Drosophila melanogaster: one gene and its partners. The gene in region 2 interacts genetically with the main gene of each other region. Each region holds a gene or a part of one and is shown on either strand. Other genes may lie near its edges. The genes, in order: mam, ct, su(Hw) and mod(mdg4).

What was found.
Region 1: of ct (region 2) and mam, changing one enhances a phenotype caused by changing the other (phenotypic enhancement), as found in Drosophila melanogaster (2 studies listed by BioGRID).
Region 3: of ct (region 2) and su(Hw), changing one suppresses a phenotype caused by changing the other (phenotypic suppression), as found in Drosophila melanogaster (7 studies listed by BioGRID).
Region 4: of ct (region 2) and mod(mdg4), changing one suppresses a phenotype caused by changing the other (phenotypic suppression), as found in Drosophila melanogaster (7 studies listed by BioGRID).

What each region holds. Positions count from the first base shown.
Region 1 is NT_033778.4:13,988,612-13,995,904, forward strand, and holds the start of mam (mastermind), read left to right. Parts: upstream 1-2,591; 5' UTR 2,592-2,881; intron 2,882-3,366; 5' UTR 3,367-3,493; intron 3,494-7,293. Other genes in the region: RN-tre (uncharacterized protein), read right to left, coding at 1-272, 332-1,013, 1,074-1,225.
Region 2 is NC_004354.4:7,606,174-7,613,605, forward strand, and holds the start of ct (cut), read left to right. Parts: upstream 1-2,974; 5' UTR 2,975-3,242; coding exon 3,243-3,365; intron 3,366-7,432. UniProt on the Drosophila melanogaster protein: Regulator of cell fate decisions in multiple lineages. Specifically, functions as a determination factor that specifies sensory organ identity in precursor cells. Probably also involved in cell type specification of Malpighian tubules.
Region 3 is NT_033777.3:14,302,281-14,311,370, reverse strand, and holds su(Hw) (suppressor of hairy wing), read left to right. Parts: upstream 1-2,781; 5' UTR 2,782-3,095; intron 3,096-3,162; exon of another isoform or gene 3,163-3,336; intron 3,337-3,400; 5' UTR 3,401-3,415; coding exon 3,416-4,273; intron 4,274-4,339; coding exon 4,340-4,767; intron 4,768-4,824; coding exon 4,825-4,957; intron 4,958-5,027; coding exon 5,028-5,218; intron 5,219-5,286; coding exon 5,287-5,411; intron 5,412-5,472; coding exon 5,473-6,563; 3' UTR 6,564-6,916; downstream 6,917-9,090. Other genes in the region: CG31321 (uncharacterized protein), read right to left, coding at 432-855; Polr2I (RNA polymerase II subunit I), read right to left, coding at 1,795-2,184; IFT54 (intraflagellar transport 54), read right to left, coding at 6,961-7,911, 7,977-8,539, 8,599-8,716, 8,781-8,915. UniProt on the Drosophila melanogaster protein: Component of the gypsy chromatin insulator complex which is required for the function of the gypsy chromatin insulator and other endogenous chromatin insulators.
Region 4 is NT_033777.3:21,372,818-21,379,861, forward strand, and holds the start of mod(mdg4) (modifier of mdg4), read right to left. Parts: upstream 4,585-7,044; 5' UTR 4,471-4,584; intron 4,260-4,470; 5' UTR 4,216-4,259; coding exon 4,002-4,215; intron 3,925-4,001; coding exon 3,785-3,924; intron 3,096-3,784; coding exon 2,243-3,095; intron 759-2,242; exon of another isoform or gene 264-758; coding exon of another isoform or gene 1-263. Other genes in the region: tin (tinman), read left to right, coding at 6,430-6,614. UniProt on the Drosophila melanogaster protein: Component of the gypsy chromatin insulator complex which is required for the function of the gypsy chromatin insulator and other endogenous chromatin insulators.

The DNA of each region.
Region 1 (7,293 bases), on a different chromosome or scaffold from region 2:
AACTCGTTTGACTTGGCTGGCGGCGGCACATCCAACTTGAGGTCCTTCAGCTTCTTCATCACGCGTTCCAGAGCCTGAATGGCATCATCGTCGCTGTAGCCAAAGTTCTTGTGCAGCCGTACTTGCAAGTACTCAATGATGGCGTCCATGTCCTTCAGGCGCAATAGTTCGTCTTTGTGAAGGTACAGAATGGTGATGGCCATGGACAGTATGACGCGATCGCCGTCTAACATGAATATATCCCACACGCGCAGACTCAAACTAAAAGGAACCTGCAAAAAACAGATCTATTAAGTATTTTTGTAATAAATACACCTTGTGGTTTACATACGCGTTCCACGAAGACGACAAAGAACCACTTAATAGCGTACAGCAGGGCGTCAACGTTGTGTTTGGTAAAGTGCTTGTGTAGTTTTCGCATTATTTTCGACATGATGCGGTCGTGGTGATCGATGAATCGCGTCAGCTTCGGGAATCCCTCGATAAACAGCCCGTGCATGCCGTATTTTTGGTCTGTTATCAGGGTATTTAATGCCCAAAAAGCCTCCTCCTCGTGCAAATAAAGCAACAGCACGCCAGCCACACAGGCCATGCCCTGGCAGTAGCCCAGCTCCGAGTTGTAGATGCTATAGGCGTTGAGCACATTGAATAGCGAGCACTGCTTTACGCTGTAGCGCTCGCGAAAGGCAAGATTGTCGCGAAACTGACGATTCACATCGGCATCGATTTGTCGCGTCTCCGTGGAGTACTTCCTGGCCAGCTGCAGCATTCGGAGGTAGACGCCAGCATTGTTGTTTATCGATTGCTGGATGTCGAGCAGCTTATTCCAGGCCACCATACGCACGCGATCCGGTATGCCCTTGTAGACGCGCTTGTGCAGCTTATCCTGGGGCGGCGGCCACTGATTTAGCATCTTCATCCACTTTTTGTCCCGCTCCATTTCAATCTTGTTGCGATGCACCTCCTGGGCATCACGCGTCGACGGCAGCCGCGAGTCGTGCAAGAAGCCATATCTGTGGGAGCATCAATGGCATTATTGGGATTTTTTCTGGCGAATGATTAATATTACTCACTTGTCTGTCCTGTGGTAGATCTCGAAGGTGGGATTCTCCCAGGAGTCCACCACATTGCTGGGATCCAGCCCGAGTTCGTAGCGCCGGAAGATGTCCTCGCGCTCGTCCTCGGCCCGCTTGACCAGCGCCTCCTGCTGTTCGCCGTCAGTCATTTGGAGCAGGATCAGGATTTGGCGGGTGGGGGAGGGGATCGGGGACAGGAGCAGGAGCCGGATCCGGAGGAGCAAGTGGCCAGAGCTGGTTTCTCTGTGCTCTCAGTTGGGGAGCGGCTGCTTCTGAGCTGACTGGGCGATAGCGCGAAACTTTGATAAAAAAAAAATGGAATGGAAAAAATAACACACAAAAGCATTAACATGCGAAAGCGATCCACAATAACAACACTCGTATACTATATAGCTGATGAGCGAATGACGCACACGAACATTAACTATTGTATATATATATATATATATTCAAATGCAGTGAAATCAACATGATCTTTGTTTTTGGAGAAGGAGCGTGGCATAAATGACGTGATGTTTCACCCATATTTAGTGCAGCATCAAAACATAAAGCCATATAAGACTTGGTCACTGATCTAGAAAAACGCCCCCTGATCTGCGTTGTGTGAGTGTGAGTGGGCCAGAAATGTGTGGATCTGCATGCGCCCCCGGGTTTTTGTCGCCTATTTTAATGCGAAATGTGCAATCTTATGCTTTATCGTTCGTACACTTCCTGTTTTCGCTGCGATTTGTTGTATTTTGTCAACACAGACACATACGCACACACGTAACACACACACACACAGACGCTCCGACGAAAGAGAGTGTTCTGGCTTTCACTGGCCACTCTCTCCGCGTTCCTATGGTTGAGTTTAATTAATCGCGCCGACGTTCGTTTACCATTTAATTTTGAATTGCCAATTCTTATTATCCGCACTGATCGGTTATGTTTGGTAACTAGTTTTTCACTATTTTATCTCGGCTGCATGTTTCCGATACATTTGGGGGGCGACTGAGTGTGTGTGAGGGCCAGAGTTGCCAGACTGATGTAATTGCCGAATAACGTAACGTAACAAGAGTACCAGGGATGCGAGCCAATATTTAAGCGATACTTTAGCGTAATGTTATACGAGTTTAAATTTTAGTTGAAATGTTTGTGATGTCAATGTACAAATATGTAAAATGTTTATCTATTTAAAGCTGCAAATGAATGCTCATTTATAAATATTTAACAATGATATTTATTTACTTATTATTTAAAACCTATTCAGTTACTTAATTGCGACAAGTGGCACTTAATGAATTAAAACATTTGTGGAAAACATTTTCACTTCAAAATTTATTTCTTGATAACAAAATCGGCTTTTTAATTCAAATATAATTTTTGTGACTAAATAAGCAGTGCTGCCATACATTCAACTGGAAAACATCGTCAGCAACAGAAGGATAAGTAATCGCTTGATCGATAGCGTTATCGATGTTTTCCCAGCCATCGTTCCACCACTAGCGCCTCTCAAAACAACAAAAAAACAGCGGCAGTCGGACGCGGTTTTTATCATCGAGCGCGGTTTCTTTGTTTTAGCGCTCGAAAATTGTCGAGAACTCTCGTAAAAAATACACTGTACCAAATAACTAAGGAGTGCATGCTAATTGAACAAGCAAATGAATTAAGGTGTATATCAAAGTGAAAAGAAGTCAAACATAACCGATTTTGTTGGCGGCTTTCTTTTATTTTTGTTGAGATACCGTGTTTAATTTCTCCAGTTTTATGCAAACACATGAATAACATAACAGTGGAAATTTCTAAGAGTGCATTGTGAGATAAAAGTAAGCAAATAATTAATATTATGTTTAACATAAAATGCAACCCTCAACAGCGTCCTTTTTAAAGGTGTGCGTTTATATATATATATATATATATATATATATATATATATGTGTGTTTGTGTGTGCGTGTGAGTGATTGTGGATTTTGTGATGCAAAAGAAAATTGCCGCGTGTAAATTTTTGATTTTCAATTCGAGACGAGCAGAGGATTTTTAAACTGCAGCTCTAGCATTTACCGTTAGGGCAAGAGTAAACACATTCAACATGTTGCAGTCACTAAAAACTAAAACAAAAGCAAAGCGGATCACTCTCTTTCTCATTCTCTCATTCGCTCTCTTTGAGTTATAAGTGTTTTTGCCGTGTTTTGTTTTGATTTTTGCACATACACGAAGACATCGAGAGAGGAGAGCGGAGAGTTTCTGCTCTTTTGATTGTTGTTGCATTGGCCAGCTAATAAAATTGTGCCGTTCTTGTTGTTGTTGCAGTTGGATTAAAATTCAAAGCATTGGATAAATGCTAAGTTGAAATAACAACAGTAATAACAAATGGAAAATAGCAAATAGCAAATCAAAGGAAATCAAAATCAAGTTGGATTATCAGCACAGCTTCTGGGTAAGTAAGTTAAGTCTCTTATCGCCTAATTAGTTTATAGCGTTTTAGTTTCGTGTGGGTGGCTTTTTGCATTTCAAAACCAGTTCTATTTCGGGTTTTCATATGCCTTTTTTTCTCTTCTCATGTTGATAAGACCTTGAAGCGCTTTTCGTGTAGAACTTCGCATGATTGATGTTTTTATGTTTGAGGGGAGCTTGAGTCAAAGCTCGGCTTTTAAAAATGGATCAAGACCAGTTTTTCGAGGCTTTGGAATTGCCAAATAATTTCCTAAGCCCAAACTGCAGTTTGTTGTGGTTGTTGCTATTGCTTTTGCTTGCATCGCCTAGAAAATGATGGATGCACACACCTCTCGCTCTACCCTTGCCGTCCCTTTCGCACATCCAGAAGTTGTCGGTTGAGTTTTTATGGCCGTCTCTTTTGTCTCTCCATTTATTTGCCTTTGTCTTTGGACTGATGACTTTGTTTTTGCCCTGTCTTTGATTCTTTCTTTCTCTCTCTCTGCTTCTTCTTCAACGTTGATCCTTTGATTTCGTTTGATCCTTGTAGGTAGAAAAGATTGAGTGTGGGAGAGATCTACCGTTGTTTCGTTACTTCAATCTATAAGATACTAGAATTTTCTTTTTTAAAACCAATTCGAGAAATATTTCAATATATATTTTTGGGGAAAGAAGAATTTTAATTCTTTCGAATATTAAAGAGTTTTTTAAGATTGATTTATAAATTTCTTTTGGATCTTATTATTTGTATTTTGTATACGAAACATTCCATCTTATATTATTATCGTTAGTTTTTTGTAACTCCAAAAATCAAAATAAATATTCAAATAAAGAATTCTGTATTGCCTTTTGTTTTAATGCCATTATGCAATATATGCATTTATTGCTTAAATATTTTTAAAATTATTAACAGCATTCAGCTTATGTCTTTTGAACATTCTCCTTACCAATATCAGATGCATTCCAACCGAAATGCGACGAAGGGCATGCATTTAAACACAATACCTGGCATACTCGACATTTTAAATGCTTTTCATCACTTGATAAACAGTATTATTTGCCTTTCCTTTTTTTTTTTTTACATACATGTATCTCCCTCTGTTCGCCGCCGTTTGTTTTGCCCCCGTCTTCGCATATGTACGTCTTCGAGTGGTCTAACATGTAATGTATGCCTCGTCTTTAGTTTCTTGTTCGTTTCGTCTTTGAGACACCGGAAGTTGTTGCTAGGCTGAAAAAGTTGTGTGTGTTTTTCAGCAGTGTCTCCAGCTGTATCTTTATCTCCCTCTGGAGCCGTATATCCATCTCTATCGACGAGCAAGTGGCGCGTGTGAATGACCCAATTAAGCTGAAGATAACCCGGCCTAAGCTTCGACTTCGTAGGTGGCTTAAAACAACTCGGTTGGCCAAGAAGAAGCAGCCCCAGAACCTGCCAGACGAACATACCTACTATGGCACAACAAAAAAGAGTTCACATCGAATATATCGAATGCGAAGTTTGAACTGTAAACAGGTTTACTTGGCCTCACCTCGCTTCGTCTGCTGCAGTTGGCTGCTACAGGTTTGCCTCCGTATCGCGAACTGCGCGCCATGGAATTTCCTGTATTCATTCATTTTTGAATCCATATAACATAAGCCTTATTTCACTTAAGTTAAAAAACTACAATAAGAAGAAAATAAATGCATACCATTTCAATCTTAAAATTCTTGAAATAAAAAAAATTTCATTCCGGGTGTGAATTTGTGGATTTGATTAAATAAAAAATAACTGTAGTATATATATGTTGATGTTGAAATTTTTAAAAGCTCCTCCATTACTTTCTCCATTTAAGAAACAGGGTAATGTTTTTCTAAGGTCAGCTTATGCAAAGAATAACATATGCAGTAATCCCAGTTTAAGTTATCAACATTTCACTGTACATGGTTTAGTGTGGTGCTTTATTTTGTCAGGCCAAACTCCTTTTCAACATTTTTGTATTAAATATTTCGCACCATGTTCTGCATTTATTCGGATACGAGAGATCTCCCGAGGCTCCAGTCTTCAACTCCATCTCCTTCTGTGCGTCTGCCATCTCTGTTCGACGCTCTAATGCCGTCCTTTTCTGTGGCATATTTTGTCGTTGAGTCAGTTGGGGTCAATGCTGCTGCTCAACTTAACTCTTTGCTCACTCAACTCACTTTGCTCGATGGCCAAAACAGGTTTCCGCTTTGGCTGAGCTTTTGTTGTACGCTTGTTTTTTCGGGTTTTTCTCCTGTGCAGCAGCGCGGCCTCACCCACAGTTTGCTGTTTTATTTTTCGTTTCGTGTGCTTGGGCTTTGGGCCCAATACCCAATATATCTGGAATCCCAACCCTCGAGTGAAACATCCCTGCTGCCGCAAAACAGCCCTCAAAAGCGGGCAATCGCAACCTGAGACACTGGGAATGCGAGTGCAGATGGAACTTGGGAATCGTATTTTGGGGAGGGGTGTTGACGATGGGACTCTTTCGGATGGCGCTGCAGCTGGAGCTGTGTCTGTGGCTGGATAGTCCGGGCTATCCCGAAAGTGGATGCCCCATTCCAGGTGTTCGGTCGCTGCATTGTAGCAGGCGCTCAGCTGCATTCACCGCACGATTGTGTGCAGTGGCCGCATGTTGCAAGTTGTTGCACCAGCAACACTCAAGCGAATCTTTCGCGAAAGCCCGAGACGCAGGCACAGACGATGGCGACGGCGACTGGCATTTCTGCACCGGTTTTCCAGCCATTTTCCCCCATTCGCATTGGCCGCCTATGCTTTCTTCCTTATCGCCTGTTTCGCTGCTGCCACAACTTGCTGCTGTTGCCGCTGTACATGTTGCCGCTGTTGCTGCCACTGCATCTCTGGCTGCTGCTGCGCTGCTGTAAATGTTGCCGCGAATGTTGCTGCCGCGGCAACATTCGTGGTGCCAGCTGCACTTGCTACTTCGACCAAAGTTGCGGATATCAATTTACTTAAGCATTTGTGGCTCCTGGTACTGAAAGTTTTATTTGAAATTGATAGCCGGGAAATATATATGCGCATTTCTTCAAATCGCAGTATTCATTTCGTATAAGGTTAGGATTTGTTTCTTGTTTTTCTACGTTCGTAACCATGTAATATAATTAATAATATTTACAAGCACGTCGATATCAATTGAAACGATACCATAAAATAAAAGGATTACTTTACAAAAGAAAACCTATTAATAAAACCTATTCAACTCAAGTTAAAACTGTAAGATCACACACGTTCTTGTGTATAAAGTAATCTTGAGAGGTTTTTGAACATGAGGCATCGCACCCATTTTGGAACCAATCGCATACAGTGCGATCAAGCAGACTCCAGTGGCTTGTGGACCGGGTGTGTTTGCTTTTGCCTTAATCAGCAGAAAATCATATGCGAAATGTACGATACAGATGTGCCCATATACACATCTAGCTATAGCACTCTTTATGTAGAGCCCCTCTAGCTCTAGAGTCTAGACTCTAAAGTCTAGACCACATAAACGCGTATCGATGGCGACGAAATGTGTACATCGCACATGAACGAACGGGGCGAGTGAGTATGTACAGTTTAAGAGAGCGAGGCAATATGAAATATAAACAAATAATTAACTGACATATCCGTATGCTTATCGCGCAACAAACCGCAGCAGCAGCAGCAGCAGCAACAACAGGGGCAACAGCAACGGCAGAAGCACAGATACAGATACATCAGATACAGATACGGACACGGATTCAGATACAGGCACACTTTCGGGGCGAGAGCGACTCTGAAATTTGTTTCTGACAAAATGCCATAATGAACGT
Region 2 (7,432 bases):
TTATAAAACTTGTTTGTTAAAAAAAAACCGGTTAAACCAAAAATCTATCCATTAATATAAGAACTATTCTTACTACCGGAAACTGAGTCAACATCTTGCATCCTCTTCAATGAAAATGAATTTTTATTAAATGTCCTGGAAATTTACAGTATGTTTAGCAAATCCAAACAATAATAGATATTTATAAAGCAAATCAAGAACATAAATAGCTTAAAAACATAAAACATAACATAGAACAGGTAAGGTAATCAACTTTTAATAAGTTGGATGTCTTGATGGAAGTTCGAAAGTATTTCGAAAACGAGTTCGAACCCCTTGCATTTTCGACTCAAAGACAGGAGAGCGAGTGAGTGAATATCTTGTGAGTATTTGGATTGAGTGGTTTCTTGAATTCCGCCGTTTTTAATCCAGTTGGAATTCTGCTGGTTGGCGGACACTTGTTTCTATATGGGCGATTTGTAGGGGTCTTCAATGCACTTATAATTTGTAATATTGCATAGTATGTATGTATATTTTAATATTTCTCGTCTTGTCATTTTTAAGAACGAATCTTTCTTTGTACTTCATTACTTTTACGAATTTCATCAGTCATTTTTTTTCATGATAATTATAACATGCAGTGATAATTTTTTTAAATTTGTAAGAACCATATATTGAATACTTGTATATTGCATTTTTGTATATAATGGCATAATGTATGTATTAACGAAATTATATAAAAATCCCTTATTGGTTTCCCCAATAATGTGTGGCTAAATTCCCTCACCTTTGTGGGTGGGTTGGCAGTTGGGGGTAAACTAGGAGCAATAAAATGAAATGAGTATTTTTTTCGGGGTGAGTACATTTTTCGACGCCGACGGCGGAACCGAGCATCGTTTTTTGTCTTCGTGTAGTTGGCGCTGCCCTTTCTCTCGGCTCTCCCGTTATTTTCGTTATTTTGCAAGCCGACGACGAAGTCCCCGAGCAGATCCAAGCCCCCAATATTCCCCGTACACCCCATTTACCAACAATTTTCCACCCAAATCCTAACCGCTTTTCAACCGATTTTCCTCTCAGACTGCAGCAACGCATCTGCGACTGCGACTTGGGTTCTCAGTCTCAGTTTAGGTGTAAGCCATAACCCCTTGGAAAATCCCAACCACATCGCCCCTCCCCGCCCAGCAGAAATCATGGGGTTTAGTAGAAAAATAGGGAGTGAGAATACCAAGGGGGTCGGGGGCGTCTGCATTGCACTTGGCGCTTCGATACAATTTGAACTTTTCTTTATGCGAAAATCCCGCAACGGGACTGCAAATTCCAGGGGTTTGCGGAAAAACACAAAATAACGGGAGGCTGAGAAGGGGCTTACTCTCCAATTTAATATTCCATGGATTTTTGAAGAGCCGAACAGAGACAGCCAGCCAAGGGACTTAAGTTAGGAATGCAATTTAAGGTGCATCATAAAGTGGCGGAAATTTGGAAAGGACAGATTGTTTCTAAATGTTACATTTACCTCTAAAAAAAAACATAAAAATTAAATTAAACAACAAAACATAGAATTGTTTGTTGCATTTAGCTTAATTTACACTTCGTATTTACTTTTTTATTTCCATCACTTTCTACTATTGTTTACTATGTTCGAACATTTGATGAATATAGCAGCTGCTTTTAATTCTAAGACTTATCTCGTGGAACTTTTAGTTCTTTAGTTCTTAACTTTAAAACTTATCAGTTTCAGAATAATACTTGAATTCCAGGTAAATCCCCCTAAAGCCAAAAAATATTACAACTTTCCGAAATATCCTCAATCTCAATCCCTCCGCCAGCGTCACAGTCGACGTTGCACTCAATCCTGCGCTCAATAAGCAACAACAACAAGCAGTAGTGGAGAGAGGCGAGCGCCTGGCTCTTTCGTTTCCAATAAGAAAAGCGATGTGCGAGCGGGAGGGCACTAGCCAAAGTGTCTGTGAATGAATGAATTTCAATACATGCAACTGACATGCGACGGCGCAGAAAAATGCTCAAAAATAAGAGTAAAAAAAAAAGCCGAGAAGGAAAGCGCAAAAAAAGTGAGAAAATCAAAAAGCTATTGAAAGAAATCAAAAGCAGTGCACGGGAATTGAGTGAGATTCTCTTGCGCGGAGCGTGAGAGAGCGAGCGAGAGAGTTGCGCTGCATGAGTGTGTTGTGTGTTTGTGGCGCCTCTGTCGCTGCCAACGCCGCTGTCGGCGCTCTCTGCGGCAGAGGGTTGTCGGCGCTTCGTTAACGTTCGATTTGTTCAGTCATCAACAGCATTCGTGACTGGCAACGTCGTTTCGTTCGTCCGTCGCCGAAAGAAATCGAGAATTTCAGAAGATTTTTGGATTCTACTGCCCCACAAGGCAGTGCAGCTTCTTCTTCTTAGCCGCGGCGCGGGTGTGTGTGCGTGTGTGCCCCTCTCTCTCACTGTGTGTGTACGTCGTGTGTGTGTGTGTGCAGAAGAATCCCCCCACCCACTTCATACAAAAAATTCATAAAAAAATAATTGCAAAAGAATGAATCTCGCTTGCCAAGAAGAAGAAACGTATTGATCATATTTATAAACAAAACAGCACACAGCCAAACAAATCAAAAAGGACTAAACGAACGTATAATATAACTGTTTATTATTTTTTTCAAGTGCATTTTTGTTCGCTAAAATATGTGCGCGTGTATGAGTGTCAAGTGTAAACAACAACAGCAACATCAAAAGCAACAACAGCGACAGCAAACATGTGCAAAATAAGCCACAGCCAAAAAGCAACAACATAATGATAATGGCTTGAAAAAATCACACACACAACAACAACAGGCAACAACCAAAACAACAACATCATACCCTCACCATTCAACAAACGACTACAACAAAATCCCCCACACAACAACAAGAAGAAACCCCCTTCCAAAAAAATCAAAAAAAATTCTTTTTCGGAACTAAAGTGAACAAAATATAAAACATAACATAACCATAATAATAATAATAATAACACACAGAAATTGGCTTATTTATGCATTTTTTTGAGCACGTAACAAGAAACATACTACTTAAGGTGTAAATGTGATGACTAAAAACGAAAACCGAATTAAATAACAACTAACTAACAAGTAAAATCGAAACGACAACAGAACAGAATAATGCCAGGCCTTATTAGCCCCAAATTGGTAGAATCCAAAAACTGAAAACCCCAAAAAAACCTAAGCAAAAACTGACTGAGAATTATTGAATTAACCCAAGAAAGCCCACGAATGCAGCCAACATTGCCACAAGCCGCTGGGACAGCCGATATGGATCTGACGGCTGTTCAATCAATCAACGATTGGTTTTTCAAAAAGGAGCAAATTTATTTATTGGCACAGTTTTGGCAACAGGTAAGAAAAGTTAGCAAAACGATGGAAAACGGTGCTTAAAAGCAAGAAGTTTCGTGTTTCAAGAATAATAATATGAATATAGTTCAATGAATTGGCCAAACAAGCTGAGATTACGGGTTCGTAAAATGTTCGGTGCAAAAGTGTTTTATCTTCTGTTCTCACTTTTATTCGCATTGACAAACAGTCTTACGTTTATATTACATGCAAGGTGTATCTTATTTTTGTCAACAAAAAGATGAAATTACACCTGTTATATGTAGCATAAAATTTGATACTTGCGTTTTCTAACTTTATATGAATGAAATGAATTCGATTCATACAGTATTGTGTATTCAAAGTGAAAAGTTTAGGGAGCGTAACGCGAAAAGCCCGAAAGCCTTTAAAACGTTATAAGCTAAAATTAGAACTTTCCATACATTGATTAGACTAAAAAGTCATATACAAATTTGCAATTATCATTGTAACTAAACAGTGAATAGTTCCCGAGTTCTGTGATATTCGTTGCATTTCACTGGAAACTCCCACAGCTGACAACAATAACCCTAGTGCGCCCAGCCGCCCACTTTAACCCCACACAGCCCCCATATTTTGGCCCCGCAAACTGCTTAACTTAACTTAAGTTAACTAATTGAGTTTGCGTGTCTATGGCAAATGTGTTTTTATTGTTGCTGGCCCGTTATTGTTGTCTAATTTCTTGTTGTAAATTTATTTATTTTTTCTGCTATTATTGATTTCTGAAAAAAAATTTGTTTGCACAAAACAAAAACAACAAATGCAAAGTGCAACAAGCAAGTAATAAGTGAACAGTTTATTGCTTGAATAACTTTTTTTTTTTTTGAAGCGTTTTTTTTTCTGTTTTCTACTACCAGTGAACCGAAAAAGATAAAGCCAGACAAGATCGGCCAGACGGAAGAGACAATTCAGATGGGGGTTTCGCTGTAAAAGGGGGCGTGGAAAATCGGGAGGCGGGGGCCAGACGATGCTGAGAATTTCGCTGGCCAAATGCCAGACTCCGAACAAATAAGGCGGCAAAATAACATTAGAGGCCAAAAAGGGGAAAAGAAAATCATCTGCCAGACCAGACATGGAAATATCAACTGCTGTATATATTTTTGAATATTTCTATATATAAAAATACTCTCTATATGGTTTGGCAAGTTAATTAGGTTGCGTCGACAGCCGGGCAAATTTTTTAATTGGAGTTTCTTCTTCGATTGATCGTGAAAAGCGAGAGACGCGCACAGTGAAAGACAGACATGGAAAAATTCCCGGAAAATCTAGACATTTGCCGTCGGTGAATGGCGTTTTTTCCCGCTCCACAAATATTTTTGTACAAGATATGGCGATGCAAACTGCAATCAATAAAACTTAAATAAGCAAAACCAAAAGCTATCCTATCGACTTTTTCCGGAGAACCACAACAAAGGCAAAAAGATGAGAAGCCGCAGAACTCGTTAGGATTACTTGAAGTCAGTGGTGTACACAGGATTTTATGAATGGGGCTTTGCTGATCTCAAATAGAACCGGTTTTTATTTAATTAAATGCATTTGCTTGTTATATTTAAATGTTAGATATGTACATAGTGATAGAGCATAGTGTTGGCGGCCTAAACGAAAACACAAAACCCCATCTAAAGGCGCCACTGTTTTGGGTTCTTTTTTCCTCTTTCCTAACGATCATTTAATGGCTTTCAAAAGCTTCAAGTCTTCTATAACTTTCAAGATCCCTCAACCAATGATCGATTGTGATCAATGAATCAATATTTGAAAGGTTTCGTCATGCCTTCGCATGCTGATCAACAAAACAAAATTAGAACTCGATCCATAAATACCATTTCTCTGCGGCAGAAAAAAAGGTTATTCAACATAACTAAATTTGCCAACCAAAAATAGAAGCTTATTAAATAAATTAAACAAACCGCAGACAGACGTCTACAGCTGTCCAAATGAGTTGATAAAACAATTTTTATAGTATTTCACTTATTTATTTATTTACATTTCAAGAACAGAGCGCGCGCGAAAAAATTGACACAAATCGAATTCGAAAAAGCAACAATAAAAATGTGCTTGATTAACACAAAGTTTTGTCATTAAATATATAGAACGGTGGCACCGAAAAAACGATCACAAAAAATTGAAAAAAAAAACAAGTGCAAGAACAAAAAGCAGAAGCCAAAGAAGAACCAAAAGTTAAAAAGAGCAAAATTAATTTCCGTAATGCAATCTATAAACTTGACCCATTAACATCGAACAGATTTTTTGTTTAGCTTCTACAATTACCGAAATCCGAAAAACCATAAACCGAAAACTAGATGAAAGATGAGGTTTTTGTCATTGATTTGTGCTGATTCAAACTAGAAAAAAAAAAGATGGAAATGGAAAGACAACAAAACCGAACTAATTGCCAAATGCATTTGCTGACTTAAAAAATATTAAAAAAAAAAAAATAGAAAAGTTGAATTGAAAAGATGAGAGTAAATCGAGTTTGGGTTCCGTTTTAATCGAATTGAAACCGGTTTATAGGGTAGTCACCACCACCATAGCACCATCACAGATGCAGATACGGATATAAAATACGAAATGCGGAATACCGGGGACGAGCATTGATAGTTTATAAAGTTTAATTTTCAAAGATGGCGTCCCGGCATTTGCATATGCCGAAAATGAGCAGCCAAGGGTTGTCCCTTAAGCCCTTGGAAGCACACGGATACCTTGTACACATATACGATATCATACCATGCTATACCAAACCATAGATACCATATTGCCAGATACAGTATACAGATAGAGATCAGATCGGTGGACTGAGCGGCGGCGTGTGTCGTATAATTTTTAGCGTTTTAAGTGCAATTTACTCGCTCTCTGGCAGAGAAGCCAGCTAATGAGTCACAGAAACCGAAACGTGGATGAATGGGGGGGGGGGGGTGTTTGAAAAAGGGGTTATACCAAGAATCACAGACCGAATTCAACCACCCACACAGCACACAGATGCATACATATGTATGTAGACACACACGCATGGTATATGAAAATATTTCAGTCAGTTCAATCGTTCGATCGCTGGAAAGATATGTTAATATAATTAAATTAATTTGTCAGCACGGAAATTAAAACAGAAGCGGCATCGGCAGCAGCAGCAGCAAAAACAGAAACCGAAATGTCCATCACATCCACATCGGTACACATACATAGTATCTATAACAAAATGCGACGAACGAATCGAAACGATACTATACTATACCATACTATACTATACTATACGAACCGAACGAAACGAAACGAGACGAATCGAAATGAAAATCGAACAATTAAAAGCTTGTGGTGGGTGGGTGGAGATGGCGATCTGAACCCGAGAACTCGAACTCGATCTGAACTACCACGCAACTAATAATGTGAAATAAAAAATCATTTGGAAATTATTATTAAAAATTGAGTTCATGAACTATGTGTGTCCGTCCCGTCCGTCTATGCCAACATATGTGTATCTGTATCTGTGTGTGCTCGATCAATTTTTATTATGATTATTTGCTATTTCCCTCTCTTTCCGGTTTATGGCATTAATTATGAATAGCCATTGAAGCTAATTGAAGCCGGTCGAATGGAGTGTCCTCATGTAACTTGGGAACTAACTAACCATCAAACGCACTTCAAATTTCCCATCTGATATGTTTAGGCCGTAATTAGCTGATTTTCAATCGAATAAAGCATCGAGCTATGCAATGACCTGAAGTAACTCAGCTTGCAGTCATCTTAATCAATTGAAATTTTACACAGCACTAAAGTGGGCTTTTCAAAGTATGTGGGTTGTGTGTTTGGGCATTTTTTAAAACCAATACGCCAATCTAAATCGCAAGGAGATCAGCTTGTGGTTATCAAACGAATAAATACCTATTAAACCACCCTGATACTTTATATACTCATAGTAAGCACTAAAATAAGTACATATGTACATATTAGTCGTCTTTCAGCTAACCTGATGTAACTCAGCTTGCTGCCATCAAATCAAACTGAAACTTCACACTATCATATAAGTGGGAAAATGGGAGGGGATCGGGGAATGGATCTCC
Region 3 (9,090 bases), on a different chromosome or scaffold from region 2:
AAAGAAGGTAATTAGATGTTCGGATAACCGCTAATTTCCGACGACATCCATCAAAAGACACGGATTCCTTCAGAAAAAAATGTGCACTCAAAGAAAATGTGTATATATAGCTATTCCATTTCAATTTAAAGAAAGTTCTCTAAGATATTTACAATCTTATGCTTGAGTAAAGTATCTCAATGTCTTTCTAGTCCCATTATCACTTGATAATACTATTATTTTTCGAGTGTACCTAACCCATTCGAGGGGCAGGGGAAATTTAAAATGCAGAGGAGTCGAGATGTGAAAAGAATTCGAATTTAATTTAAGCACAAACCTGAAATATAAGCAATGCTAATGCCAAACCCATAACCGAAATCAAAACGGCGTATACTTAATGAACGACTCGTGTTATGTGTATGATATATGTGTATGTTTGTCGCCTGGCTTACCCATGGGAGCTCGTTTCCCGGAGACATCTGCCGCCAGGATCTGTGCCTCCAGTTCCGCCTTGCACACCGTGTAGTTGAAGCCAGTGGCTCCGATGACAAGGTCAGCGAGATCCGGCGTCGCGCCCTGTGTGGTGTTCTCGAAATCAAAGTCATCGCACTCGATGCCCAGCTCCGATTTGTCCAGCATTGTGTCGCAGACGATCTTGTTGTAGCCGAGATTCACGCGACACGCCTTGTCCAGTGGGAAATTCTGCATGGCCACCGCATTGAACACGGAGGCCATGAAGTAGAAAAAGAAGAAGGGCTCGATGACCAGATAGTGGCGATAGCGCCACAGTTTCTGGAAATAGTTGAGCTTGGGCTCTGCATCCACTGCTCCACTGCCATTTCCAGCCGCATCTGCCGATGACCTTGGCTTTGCCATTTTTTTATAGCACTTGCTGAATTCCTCAAAACTCTTATTTTTTATACGATTCTATTCGATTCGATACGTCTCTGGCTCGGCAGGTTGCTCTAGCAGCACATTTTAAGCGATTTGATCAACACGTCGCGCCAGGTTCTAAGCTCAGACTAAACTAAGCGACGATTCCGGGGATCGGGCCAAGCCAAGCCAGGTCTACTACTCAAATACTCAAATGGGCAGTCGTTTGATACGCACAAGAAACTTGTTCAATCATTTCTTCGTCGCTTTCGGTTCTTATTTTTTTTATTTATTTTGTTTGTTGTCAGCTTCGATTAGAGCAGAACAATGATAAATATGAAGAATTGTCACCGGGCCGTGAACTGTGGAATTCGCACATGCCTCGGGGAGATTCGTTGCTCGCTCAGTTTTACATTCATAGATTGTCAGTCATAGTACACATTCATTTATAAATAAATAATGAAGACATTTGAATACAAGCGGGCTGACTTGATTAAGTTTATAACTATGAAATCTGGTTTTGCAGTTTATGTTGCCTAAATATGCAGCTTAACCTGCTAAATTTTATCATAAACCCGGAACACTTTCGTTGTTTTCTCAACTGCACTTGAACATTTGATCATTGAAATTAAGTAGTTTTGCCAAAACATATAGTAAGATGATACAGCAGTTTTCTCGCAATGAACTTATATATTTATTTTTAAGACTGAGCTATTTAAACATTTATACAAACCAAATCGAAGTTCTTGCAAGTGATTCAAAGTCATGCGGATCACATGCATTTTTTTTCAGTGCGAATGTTATTACATTAGGCGACAACCGAGAATGGAGCTGCACGTGGGATGTTTTTGCGGCATAGCCATGGGGGAATTCCAATTGTACGATTGCAAAGTGCCTTCGATTACTTAGGGCTACAATTAGAGGCAGATGGGTCGTCAGTTTCTACTCCGTCCAACGGTGGGTGCAGTTCTGGTTGGTGCACACGTAGTACAGTCGCATCTCCTCTTCGGCGCGACGAGTTTGCGCCTGGAAGAAGACCGCCTCCCGATGGGAGCACTTGGGACAAGCGTGGTCTTCGGTGCGCGGCAGCGTGGGATCGGAAATCACGTCGGGCACAATGTGGGTCAGCTCGTCGATCTCGTGCATAATCTTGTTCACGTAGATGCAGTTGGAGTCCGCCTCCTGTTTGTAATCGCAATTCCGGCAGGCGTACAGCAGGATCTTGTTCTCCTTGTCCTCCTTGGGGTACAGCATGTTGTTGCACTCCTGGCAGAACCGAATGCCCACGAATCCCGGCCCCTCAGTGTGTGCGGCATCAAAGGCAGTCGTCATGGCTATTGGCTTACAATTATTGCTAGTTAATTGCAATTTGTGAGTTAATGCGGCTTTTATTTACCTTTTTATCGTTGCAATTGGCGAAAGTGTGACCGTGGCAAGGCGGCTTAAATATACCGAGATCATGGGATAGGTATACCTCATTAACATACTAGCCTTTAACCCTTGTGAGCACTGCTATTTTAATTATATGCTTATATATTTTGTTTTTTATTTTATCAAAATGCATATTAAAGAATGCATTTATTTGTATTTTATTCAATTACTTTTTGTATAAAATGTTAAACCTGATAATTATCTTACCGAGCAACGGCTGCGGTGGCCTTCGACTGAAATTATATATAAATAGTGAAATGTTCCATATAAGCTTTATTGTTCGGATCATTAATCTATGCTTACAAAGTTAACCAATAAAAAGTTAATATAATATTAAGCCAGACACCGGCTATTTATTTTAAATTTATGTTGGAATTATTACAAATTTACAACCCAGAAGATTCAAAACAGAGGAAATTTCTTTGTACTTTTCATGGCGGCATGTTCAGATTATTTTTTCACGGGTTGTTGTAATTAATGGTATTTTCCAACCTACATGCAACGGTCACACTGAATTTTCATACACAAACGCTTGTCGTGTTGGAATTTAAAGCATAAAATTAGGTAAATTGTGATTTATTATCGGAAATGCGGTCAAAACCCTTTAAGGAACGCATCCCGTGATATGAGGACATGTTTGTGAAGCAAATACCTTAGCCAGTGACTTGATAATTTCACGCTCTTTATCGGCGATGGCAGTCACTTTCTTTCGCTGCGGAGCAGAAAAGTGCACTTCTAATCAGCAAAATAAGTGGTTAAAACCGATCCTCCACGTCCTTCGCCGGCACAAAATCACATTAAATATTTGAAAAGTATGCTACGGATTTGCGAGTGTATTAGAATTATTTGCTACCCCTTTGAAATACAATTTTATTTCAGAAGAAAACTTGTTGCGTTTTCTGTGCGTCAGGCGCAGGTAGTGTTGTCTCGCTCACACCAAGGCCGATCGATCGTAAAGATCGAACAGCGCGACGCCATTTTTTCTTAGCAGCTTTTGGGCGTGTGTTGGTGACGCTGGCAAAATGTGATGTTCAGTAAATCACGTGCCTAAAAGTAGACTAAAGCGGTCACTGGTTATCCTGATCCTGAATTATCATCCAATCGATCTTAATTGCAGGCTGGTATCACCAACATGAGTGCCTCCAAGGAGGGCAAGGAAAAGAAGGGCAAGCTGCTGGGTGTGGAAAACATTTCGCCGCCTAAGGACAAACGTCCCGCCACCAGGATGAAGCTCTTGAATGACGTGGGAGCTGGTGAGGATTCGGAGGCAAGCACTACTACTACCACATCAAGAACTCCCTCCAACAAGCAGGAGAAGCGTGGCAGTGTCGCTGGATCGCGCATCAAAATACTCAATGAAGAAATACTGGGCACTCCGAAAACTGAGAAACGGGGCGCCACAAAGAGCACAGCTCCGGCTGCTTCCACTGTGAAGATTCTGAACGAGAAAAAGACACCCAGTGCTACCGTGACAGCCGTGGAAACTACCAAGATCAAGACGTCTCCCAGTAAAAGAAAGAAAATGGAGCACTATGTACTTCAGGCTGTGAAATCAGAAAATACCAAGGCGGACACCACGGTTACCGTGGTCACCGAAGAAGATGACACCATTGATTTCATTCTAGCGGATGATGAGGAAGTAGTTCCGGGCAGAATAGAAAATAACAACGGCCAGGAGATCGTTGTCACCGAGGACGATGAGGATCTAGGGGAGGATGGTGATGAGGACGGTGAAGACTCCTCAGGCAAGGGCAACTCTAGCCAGACAAAGATCAAGGAGATCGTGGAGCATGTGTGTGGCAAATGCTACAAGACCTTCCGTCGCGTTCAGAGTCTGAAAAAGCATCTAGAGTTCTGTCGCTATGACAGTGGGTATCATTTGCGCAAAGCCGACATGCTTAAGAACCTGGAGAAGATCGAGAAGGATGCCGTGGTGATGGAGAAGAAGGACATATGCTTCTGCTGCAGCGAAAGTTACGACACCTTCCATGTAAGTCATAAAGATTGATACCAAGAGAAGTAAGCATAACTTTCGCATACCACATTTTCCTTTCAGCTGGGTCACATTAACTGTCCCGACTGCCCCAAGTCGTTTAAGACACAGACCAGTTACGAACGCCACATTTTCATCACTCACTCCGAGTTCAGCGATTTTCCTTGCTCCATTTGCAATGCCAACTTGCGCAGCGAGGCCTTGTTGGCGCTCCACGAGGAACAGCACAAGTCACGTGGCAAGCCGTATGCATGCAAGATCTGCGGCAAGGACTTCACCCGCTCGTACCACTTGAAGCGCCACCAGAAGTACTCATCGTGCTCATCGAACGAGACCGATACCATGAGCTGCAAGGTGTGCGATCGTGTCTTCTATCGGCTGGACAACCTGCGATCGCATTTGAAGCAGCATTTGGGTACACAGGTGGTTAAAAAGCCGGAGTACATGTGCCACACGTGCAAGAATTGTTTCTACAGCCTGTCCACGCTGAAGTAGGTTTTCTAATTGATTTTAAAAGACATAAAGTAATGTTCGGTATATTTTCGCAGCATTCACATACGCACTCATACGGGGGAGAAACCATTTGACTGCGATCTTTGCGACAAGAAGTTTTCTGCATTGGTGGCCCTTAAAAAGCATCGACGCTATCACACTGGCGAGAAACCATACAGTTGCACTGTGGTTAGTCTTAAAACTTCCGTAACTTTTCATTTAACCTATTGTAACAATGCGGTATTCTATTACCTTTTAGTGCAACCAAGCATTTGCCGTAAAGGAAGTGCTCAATCGTCACATGAAACGGCACACTGGAGAGCGTCCGCACAAGTGTGATGAATGTGGCAAGAGTTTTATCCAGGCCACCCAGCTGCGCACCCATTCCAAAACCCATATTCGCCCCTTTCCCTGTGAGCAATGCGACGAAAAATTCAAAACAGAGAAACAGTAAGATATTAAAAAACCTTTTATCTTTTCTGTTAGCCCTACTTACTTATTGCAATTTTGTTTCGCAGACTTGAGCGCCATGTGAAGACCCATTCTCGCACAAAACGCCCCGTCTTTTCCTGCGCCGAGTGCAAGCGTAATTTCCGCACTCCAGCATTGCTCAAGGAGCATATGGACGAGGGAAAACACAGCCGTAAGTTGGAATCGACAATTGGCAATAATCAAGGCTTTAATCCCGCTCCTACCCTTTGTAGCGAAACAACAACGGTCATCAATGCGATCGGCCGTCAAAATTATGGAACGCACGGATTGCGCCATTTGCGATAAGAACTTTGACAGCAGCGATACCCTGCGACGGCACATACGCACCGTTCACGAATGCGATCCGGATGACATTTTTGGCGTTGAGCCGCATCCATCAAAGCGGGCAAAGAAGGACATCGAATCGGAGGAGGTTGTACCAGTGGCGTTAAACACATCGGCGGGCTCGTTAATTTCTAGCCAAACGGACGGGAATGGCGTTGTGGTGCGTGAATTCCTCGTGGACGAAGGCGATGGCGCGGCCCAGACCATTACACTAGAAAACGAAACATACACAATTCTGCCCCTGGACGGGGCCATCGAGGGAGAGCAGCTGACGGATGAGGCTGGCGTTAAGCCCGAGGCGAAGAAGGAGGAGGCGCAGGTCTCGCCGGTGGTAAAGAAAGAGCAGCGTAAATCCCTGGCCGCCAGTCTGGCCGCTGCCATCGCAGATAATTTGGAAGAATCATGTAGCGAGGATGACTTCAGTGGCGAAATTCTAACTGAGGAGGACATAAAGCTCAAAGAGAATGTGGGTAAACTTATTGATATGCTAGTGGATCCACCGATCCTAAAGAAATACGGCTGGCCCAATGCCCCCGAGGAGACGGTGCTCTGCAAAGTGATCGAGAACTGTGGCCACGACCTAACCAAAGGTGGCGAAAACTACGCTGAGCTTGACTACGGTAGCCGCATGCGAGAGTACTGCAAACTGCTCTTTACCGTGGTCATTCACAACGATTCCATCAAGTCGCTGCTCAATAATTTCCCCATCGACGATGTGATCGAATATGTACTGGGAGATGAGGATCAGGACGAAGGTGGATTGGACAAAGACAATGAGTCACATTCAGGTGATGAAGAAGCGGTGTCGGTCACAGGCGAAACTAAAACAAATGAAATCAGAGAGAAACCGGAAAAGAAGGAAGTTTCGGCGAAATCTGAAAAGAAGGAGATCGTGGGGAAAGCTGTGGATAAGGATAACTCAGAGGAGGTGGTCCGGGAAAATAAGAAAAAACCTGTAGGCGAACAAGAGAAAGCTTGATTTTCCAGCCCTTGATGCATGCGTACAATTACCGCACAAAAACCATATTCTAGGAATTGATCGTTGATGATTTTTACAACATTTGTATTTTTAAGATCGTTGGTTTTGGTACAAACACCAAGTGACCTTAAAAGAGAAACTTACCGTCTGTTGCTTGAATATTCAGACATCTTGCGCATTGACAAATTACCCAAAAACAAACAAACCAACATATTACATATCAAAGATATTTTGATATTATTATATAGATTTTATATATTTTTGAATTGAATGATGTTACCAAGCAATATATGCATGGCTATTTTTATAGTACTCTTATTAATTATAAAATATACAAATTCAATATTTTCGATAAAACTCTCTTGAATTTTTAACAATGCTTATTAATCCTCAATGCTTACTGTTCCATCATCAACTTCAGAATACGTGCGTTGTTTTGCAAGATCTTGTGGCGACTCTCGTCGATTAGCTCCCGGTACTCCGCAATGCTGGCTTGGATTTGCTGCAACTGATGCTGCAGGGGCTCCGTGGCAGATGCCGTGAGAGTCTGCTCCCTTTTTAGTTCCGTGGATGCCTGCGTGTAGGTGTCGCGCCACATCGTAAGCTCCAGCTGCATTGCATCAAAATCCTCGGGTATGCAGTCCAGTAGTTTACCCAGCGGACCTATCGACTTGGTGAGCTTTTGGACTACGTCGCGTACGTCGTTCACCTGGCGCGCAGAAGTTTGTCGGCCTGCCTGTGCTGGAGGCGGTTCCACTTCGGCGCCTTGATTGACCAGTTCCTTTTGCGTTTCCAAGATCTGCTGCACCAATCGTCCCTGGGCATCGAGCTGTCCTTCCAATGCCGGTTCGTCACCGCCACCTTCGACAATATCATGGGCGGCGGAATCTTCTATGATCACCAGGTTCTCTCCGTCGTCGTCCAAGTCGCCAAAGGTTTCAAGCTTTACATTTATGCCCGACATTTTGATCTGATCGTTTGGCTGGAGCACGATCTCCACATTGCGACGTCGTGGAGCTCCGGGACGTGCGGAGGCGGGTCGAGCGGATGGAGGTCTAAGTGAGGTTCTGGGCCGTTGATTCACTTCCTTAGAGTTCTCTCTGGTGAGGGGAACCTCCCGCTTCGCTTCGCCGCTGTTGGTCTCCGGTGGAGAGCTGGTTTCTGACGACTGCACCGCTGGCTGGGATTGGCTCTCATTGGGAATGGGATTAGGTTCCGGTTGCCTGTGGCTGCCACTAGAACGGCGACTTCTGCTAGAGGATTTGCGACTCTCAGGCTCAGCTGGTGGAGCAGTTGGAGTTTCCTGGACAGGTCTCACCACTGCCTCCTTCTCTTTTAATGGAGGAACCTGTTTGGGTATACGCATAACTTATGGATTTCTAATTTTAAAGCAAATTAACTTATTTTTCTTACCATTTCCGGCTCTGGTTTGCTTGGAGCACTTTCGCTTGCAGCAGGCTTGGTTGATCCTTCTTCCACTGGCGACATAGACTGGCTAAGATTATCGCTCTCTGTTGAAGGCTGCAGTTTGGCTTTGGACTTCTGCTTAACTGGTGACGGACTCTTTTGCTTCGAGTTTTGTCGACTTAACTTCGTCTCATCCTTGGGTGCCTTGGACTTCTTCTGGGATGCTTTATCCTTCTCGGTGGGGGGAGTAGAACGGGACACCTGTTCTTTGACCTTGCGCAGCTTCTGCTCTTGAGGCGATATACGTTTCTCCTTGCGTCGCTTTGCATCCTCATCCTTGCCGGCGGGTGAGGGATTTTTGCTTGAATTTTTAGTTTCCTTCGGTGGCTTGGTAAGCGTCAGTGGTGTTTTGCTGTGGGAAATCACCACCTGATCCACAATGCTGTCCCACTCCAAGTTCTTTTCCGCAACACTGGCCATCGCCTGGAGGAGCTCATTGGTGAGCTCCGGTTCCTGGCCAGCAACTATTTTTGAAGTGCGTACTTTGAGATCCAGTTTGGTTGTTAGTTCTGCGAAAGCAAACACCTTGTAGCTAATTCAGAGCACCAGCATTGTAAGCCAAACTCACTGGTTGCATCGATCATCTTCTGCAGAAATCGAATCTTATCCTCCCGACTGGTTATGTTCTCGAACATCTGCTCTTCCGGCGTGTATAATCCATCAAATGTGCCACTTTGCTTGATAAACTGTCCACAAATGAGGCTCAACTTTCAATCTTTTTATAGGGGTGAGGGATTTCCAACCACTTACGTTACTAAAGACATCCATTAGAAATCGGAATGGCGGCTTCTTCAGCAGCTTCTCCGTGAGCGGTGGCTTTTTGATGTACTTGCCCAAAACCTTTTGGGTCTCCAAAATAATCGCATCCAGATCTTTTTCCGACATCTTCGTCACACGTTCTCAATTGAAATGTGGCTAACTATCCTTTCGGTTTTCTTTGTTTGGCCCGGCTACGTTGTCCTGGCAACCAAACAGGTGAACTTCCCTACAGTGACCAACCATCGCTTCCATGGGCAGTTCGAAGCTAGTGGCAGGTTCATTCATAACTAAAACCCACAGC
Region 4 (7,044 bases), on a different chromosome or scaffold from region 2:
GTACTCCTCCAGTTCCTGCTCCACCTTATACAGTTGTCGCTGGCCAATCCTCGAGGCGTGGGACTCGTGATTGTGCTGACGTCGTGCGTCGATGAAGTGTCCGTCGCGGGTGATGACCACCGCCTTGCAGCGCAGCTTGAGCACATCCGCACAGCGCCAGGTCGTCTGTCCATTGGCCTGGGTGAGCTTCTTGTTGTAGATGTAGTTGCGGAACACCAGCTGGGCGTTCTTCTTCTGGCTGCGAATGAAACTGATCTCCGTATCTGCGAGAGTCGAGGAAAACCGAAAGCATGGGGTTTAGTGGGCATAATATAATTGACAGATGATCTAGTTGCTATTCTAGTGAATGTACATATATGGCTTAAGCGTTAAGTTAGGATCGGCGAAATAAAACAACGTTTAGTTTAGACTTTGGCTTTAAGCAGTTTATTCGCAATCAGTGAACCGGAGGACCCTTGGGTTTGGTGGTAGAAAACTTACCAAAATGCGGCGGGATGGCATTTTACAACTTACGGTAGCATTTGCATCGCTTGGTTTTCAAATAAGCACTATCACAGATTATCAAAAGGGTGGAAATAGGGAGGCGTTGCCCCCCTTACCAGCCCCATCACTTTAAATATTAAATAAACACCACACCAAACACACCGTCACAAGCTGGAAATAATTAATTGTGAACAAATAGGCCGTGTAATTCGGATGCAATAAAATAACAAAACAAATTGGCTTGCATTTTTTTAATGAATTTGCACGGCGTTGCCACACAGCCGAAGCACCAGGGCTGCACATTCAATTAGGGTTTCCGGAAGTGGCAACACCGTCCTCAATTTCCACAAAATGGCAACTCCGCATTAATTCAAATTTTAATTCTTTATTTTTTCATACTACAAATATATATATAATATATTCTGTGGATACTTTCTAAATATCCGGACCAGGCGCGCAAAATATAAATTACACGATTCAAACGTTAATATAAATTTTCTCAAATACGCTTAACAATAAAAAAACGAAAATTACTACTACAAATAAAGGAAATATAAGTCGGAAATGCTTCAAGGCGGTCCAACCTTTTGTTCCAAGGTATATAAACTATCGCCTATATGAATTAAAACGGTTTATGATTATCTCTTACCAATTAGGTAAGAGGTCTAGTATATTCTGTTTTTTTTGTTTAAGGTTACCGCGACATCCGTAAATATCGTGAAATTCTTCAGACACCCTTTAATTCGGAACCATATAAAAAAAACACGCAAAATGTTCCATACAAAAAATTTGGAATGAAAAAACAAAATCAGCACGCAAAAAGTAAAACAGAATCGACGCTGCATGAAGAAATAAATTTCCTCTCCACTGATAACGTTAAAAGAGTCTCCCTATACGTATTATTAAAATCTTTCCTTTTTTTTTTACGTGACCACTAAAACGATTAGAAATGAACCTTTACTATAACACAGCGTTATAAATACAATTTTTTTTTTAAGACTCGGCAATCAATGCCGTTGCTGGATTTGCATCAGCAAGCTTTTACGTTGCTTAAACAAATCCAGACAACATCTTTAAGTACGAGTTTGAAAACATAAATAACAACAAACCTCAGTAGCCTTAGCATCACCAGAGGATCATTATTAAACAGAAATGCGCATGCCCAAATAATAACCCCCTGATCATGTAAGATTGAAAACTCCAATTACTCGCTTTGCTCAGTCAAATAAACAATTACAAATGCCTGCAAATTTTGGAAAAATATATGGATAGGTGTGGTTTTAAGAGTGCCGGTATTACCTTGAGTAGTTGCAGCTCTTCACGGGTTCGGCTTCACGTTGACATCAGATATCCATCGTAGCAGCTTCTTAAAATTTCATCACTCTACTTACCTTTTAACTGAATAAGTGTAAAACCGCGCGATCTCCGTCCAGCATTTAACAAATATGCATCGGACAGCAGATCTGCCTAGTGCTCTTTGTCGATTCGAAATAGAACACAGGCCCGTAAACTACTTATTAACTAATGGCCAGCGAAGTATAGCTTAAGTTTGTTCAAAACAAAATTAAACGCACTTTGCCGAACTCTAAAAGGACATGATCCGCTTGCGACGCTAATAGATTTGGAAAGTGTTCAAGTTTGGAATACATATGTGATCTTTTTTTTAACGTGTTTGCATTTCGCAAGCGGACTTAATGTCCTTTAAATATTGCTTATATCTATTGGCCTCTGGCCATGTATGCTTTGCAATTCAACCAACCTTGAGCCTCTGTGTTGCCCTGATCCCCGCTGGTGTCGACAAACGATGATTCACTGTAGTTCTGGGACTGTTGCTTGACCACAGCCTTGGAAGTGGTCGCCGTCACTCCGCCACCGCTCGTATTTGCCGCAGTCTGGTTGCCAGCATCCTCGTTTTCAGTGAAGTAGCTGTCGTCGTAGCGCATGTCTCCGTAAGTATCGTCCTCCACATAGGTGCCCTCGGCATCGCCGGCGGCGTCGCCATGGTCCTCAGAGTAGTCAGGTTCAGATTTCGTGGGCAATTCCATGGGGAGATCAATGTACTCGGCTTCCTCCTGTCGAACCTGCTGCGGCGATTGCTGGTGGAGCTTTGCTTCTGCCGCAGAGACCACAGAGGTTTGCACGGTGATCTGTTGCGGCACAAGTTGGGCGGTTGTCGTGGCTCCAGTTTCAGTGGTCGAGTCGAGAGGGTCCATAACATTTGCGGAGGTGCTTGTCTTGGAGCGCTTTACGCCGGCGCTCGAGGAGGCGGGGGTCAGGGAGGAGCGCTGGGCAGAGCGTTTGTTTGTCGACACCAGCGTCGCCGTCGTCGTGGTTCCCGTCTGCAGCTGCTGCGATTGGATCTGCTGCGCCGCCTGCTGCGGTTGCTGCTGTTGTACAATGGTGGCTTGGGGTGCGGCCGTGGTCTGGATGACGATCTGGGTGGTGCTCTGTTTCTCGTCGCCCAGGCCGTCGTCCACGGTCTCGATCTTGTAGCGGGCGGAGGCGCGAGGCTGCTGGCGCTGCACCCGCTGAGCCGGTATTTGCTGTTGTTGTACATGAGGTGCTGCTGGCGGCGGGCTGGATTCCTGCGGCGGCTGAGGCGCAGGATCGTTCTGAAAAAAAAATATTGGTTTTTTAATTATTAACATATATTTTAGGAATAAGTGAAAAGATATTTTGTATGTTCTAGCACCTCTTTAAAAATGAACCACGATCAAAACTTAATAAACTTTAAAAGTATCTGCATTTAATAAAATGGACGATTTCAAAACTATATGTTGAAAAGAATTATTCCGTTAGAATGGAATTTGCAAAGAAATAAGAAATCTGGCCATTAATTAGTAAAGTACGCCTTCCTTGAATTGGGAAACAATAATACATTTTCTAGTTCCGATGCCTGTTTCTTTAGGTACAGCTGCACTAAATTTAATTTTGCAAATACGTTAATTTTAGTCGAAAACATTAAGAGATATTTCCCAATTTAAACATTAGTTTAAAAGCAAAAAATGTTTATGCTTTGGCATCGAATTCGCTGCGAGACAAAAACAACCACTCCAATTTGCCGCTGCCGTGCGAGCCAGAGCGAGACAAACGCTTCGCGTATAGCCCCTGCAGTTGTCTCTCTCTGGCACGCGTGCCTTTTGGCATTTGGTTTGCGAGAAATTTCTCGGTACAGTCAAACCATGCTCTTATACAGACGCCAGCCATCGCGTCTGTATGTATTGGGCGCGAAAGGTTGCGTTGTAGTTGCTCGATTCGATATACCAGTATATCACGCACACAAATGTATACATATACTCACATCCGTTAGCCCCTTGATTTGCAGCGATTCCGCGGTGCTAATAAACGCGGGCAGGGCGTCCTGCTTCACGTTGACCTCGCCGCAGTACATGAATTGGATGAGGTCCTTCAGCGCCGAGTGGCTGACGTTGTTCAGGAATACTGCAAGATAGGCGAAGAGAGTATAAGGTAAAAAATCACGTAGAGCTACAGATCTGAGCTGAGGGGCACAAACTCACCGATAGCGTGGGTGTTCGACGGCATCTGAGTGAACATCTTGCGGAAGAAGGGCGAGCAGACGGATAACACCAATCGGTGGGCCTTCACTATTTGGCCCTCGGCGGCCAGCGAGACGTCCACCAGGTCGCCGCGGCATAGCGACTCGTGGAAGCCGGCCGACAAATTCGTGTTGAAGTTGTTCCAGCACAAGCTGAATTGCTCGTCGTCCGCCATCTTGGACGAAAATCAATACTTTTCTGTATCTATGCGTTTGTTGGCTGCAGGCGAAAAAGTGCAATGCGCGTTTAAAACTCAATGCAGCGAGTGCTGAAAAATGGCAAAGGCACACACAAAATAGAATGCACTGCAGCCAAAAAAAACTGGGAAATTTTCACGCGTCTGTCTGTGTGTGCGTGTGTGTAAATTACATTTATCTCGCTTAATGACCGCAACCTACTGTGTATATTCACTTGGGGCGCCATTACTCACCTCTTGACTAAATATTTTTCCAATAAAATAACTAACTAAAGCCAGAGTTTTTTGCTAGCGCGGCCGACACGCAGAACGCGTCCGAGTTCTTTGACGTGAAAATTAGAAGTGTTACCAGGCGACGAGATTGCTGGCGATGGCAAAACAAAAAGTGACAATATATCGATAGCTTAAAATATTTATATCGAAATACTTTTATGAATATTGATAGTTGATGTGCTTTGATATTTTTTTTTTAAATGTTAGTACGAAAATCACATAATTAAGTTCATAACTTTTTGAAAACTTTTACATACTTTAGTTTACATATGCTGTAGGATTTTAGTTTGCGGGTGTGTTAAAAAAGGTTGTAGGACTAAGAAAATATCGGCCTAAGTATACGATGTATTTATGTTATGACGAAATTTCTTATTTCACAACAGTTTTGTTGTCTAGCTTAATGTTTAATTTATTTTAAATGAAATAAAACAAAATACAAATTAACGAGTTTAAAGACTAGCAGTCAAACTAGCACAACTAGAATAAAATTCATAAGATAAACAGAAAAATTTTAACTTTTTTAAATTCTCCTATTTTTTAAACTGGGCCTTCGATTTTTTACGAATGGAGGATTATTTTCTAGCGGAATTCATTATAACTCTGACAAACTCTTATGGAGCGCATCGTCACTACGTAAACCCTACACTCTGAATGCACAAGGGCACTATATTTTTAAAAAAAAAGTGACTTAATAGGATTATAAGAAAGGCAAATATTCGCTAAAAGTTCTTAAACATACCAAACAAAATATGTATGTACATAATATGTATATCTGTGTACTGTATGTACATATGCACTACATATGCAATTATATACATATGTGAACACGTTTTTGGTGCAATGCCAAGATTCGAAATGAAGGTATTCATCCCATAAAGGCGAAATATTATTAAAAATGTTGCTCTATTTAGACAACTTCACATATCCATGTTATTCATCTCTATTAAATCATAACAGTTTCAAGTGAAATAAACAATAATATATGAGAGCGTAACGTTTAAACCAAACATATTCCCCACGATTTATTTATTTGTTAGCTTAGTACACTCTTAAAATCAAGTGTGCGAAAATCTGCACTTGAGCGCCACTTGACAACCGTTTAATACACAAGACGCGCGGACAAACGTAAATACATGGGGACTATAAAACTTAAGGACTTTACGATAATAAATACGGATACTTAAGCTCAAGTAGCGAAACAAAATCAGCATAAAGTGGCTGCGAACAAACAACTAATAACAACGGGGAGCAGCTGGAGGAGTCGGTTATTGAATCTGATAGTCAGGTACAATGTGTGCGATTGTGCAAAGATACTTTCATACATGCATACAAGCATACATGTTTGGAATTAGTGATGGACAGAACTTAAAATATATTGTCAATACCATATATATTCTTAAGCTATTAGATTAAATTTACAAATGTAATACATAAATTAGTTTTTTATATTTGGATACATATTTTATAAATCTCCTAAGCATATGACAGCCTCGCACATCTCTAGCGCAGAAGAGCGAGATGCCGCACTCGCATTCCGATGCTGTGCTGTGATTGGCTCCGGGGCGGCCATTTTGCCCGTATGCTCAGTTCGCTCACACACATCCAAAAACACAGTGGCATGAGGCGGTCTGGGGTGAAAGGAGTACGCGTTCAGTACCAAAATCGAGCTGACAAATTGCAGACACGGTCGAGTGCGCATCGGAACGGCGCTTTACGGCTTACGGGTTACGGACTACTGATTGCCGATTACGGGCTACGACTCACTTACGGTTGCGCTAACGGTTGCGTGGAGTGTTTGCTCGATTACTGGACTACCGAGATTCCAATTCAAGTGTCGCAAGTTCAAGTGCGATTTGGCAAATTGTTGGACTTATTTAAATCGAAGTGCTTCTCAAGTGGCCAAGTGATCGCACAGCGAGGATGTTGCAGCACCATCAGCAGCAGGCTCAATCGGGTGGCTACTACGATCACTACACTCAGTCCCCCAGTCCGGGCAGCCTGACGAACGCGGATGCCCTGAACACCACTCCATTTTCGGTCAAGGATATCCTGAACATGGTCAACCAAACGGAGGCCTACGAAGGTTCCTACGGGCATATCGATGGGTAAGCTTGGAAGTTTTGAATCAATTATACATTAAGGGTCAAAAGCAACTAAAAATTGGGGTACACCAATAGACTAGTTCCAAGGTACTGTGTTCTACATGTTACCAAAATCTACTAAATCGAATCAGTGTACATATATGATATAAAACTAATTATTATACCGGTTAACTATCTAAATTGCAATGATTTAAGAAGGTATCTGTGCAGTTCAGAGAGAGACCAACTGTTAGTTGAGCCATTTTTAGCTATCAACTGGCATACATGGACATTTCCACCACTTCTACCTGTCAGTGACTTCTTCTCGAAGACAGCGCCCTTCCCCGTCCCGATCGCTTTTATTTATTTTTATTTAATAGGGCTCCATAGGAAAATTAATTTCTACCAATTTTCCAAAGAAAGATAATATTTTGATAACCTTCCGCCGAGACGT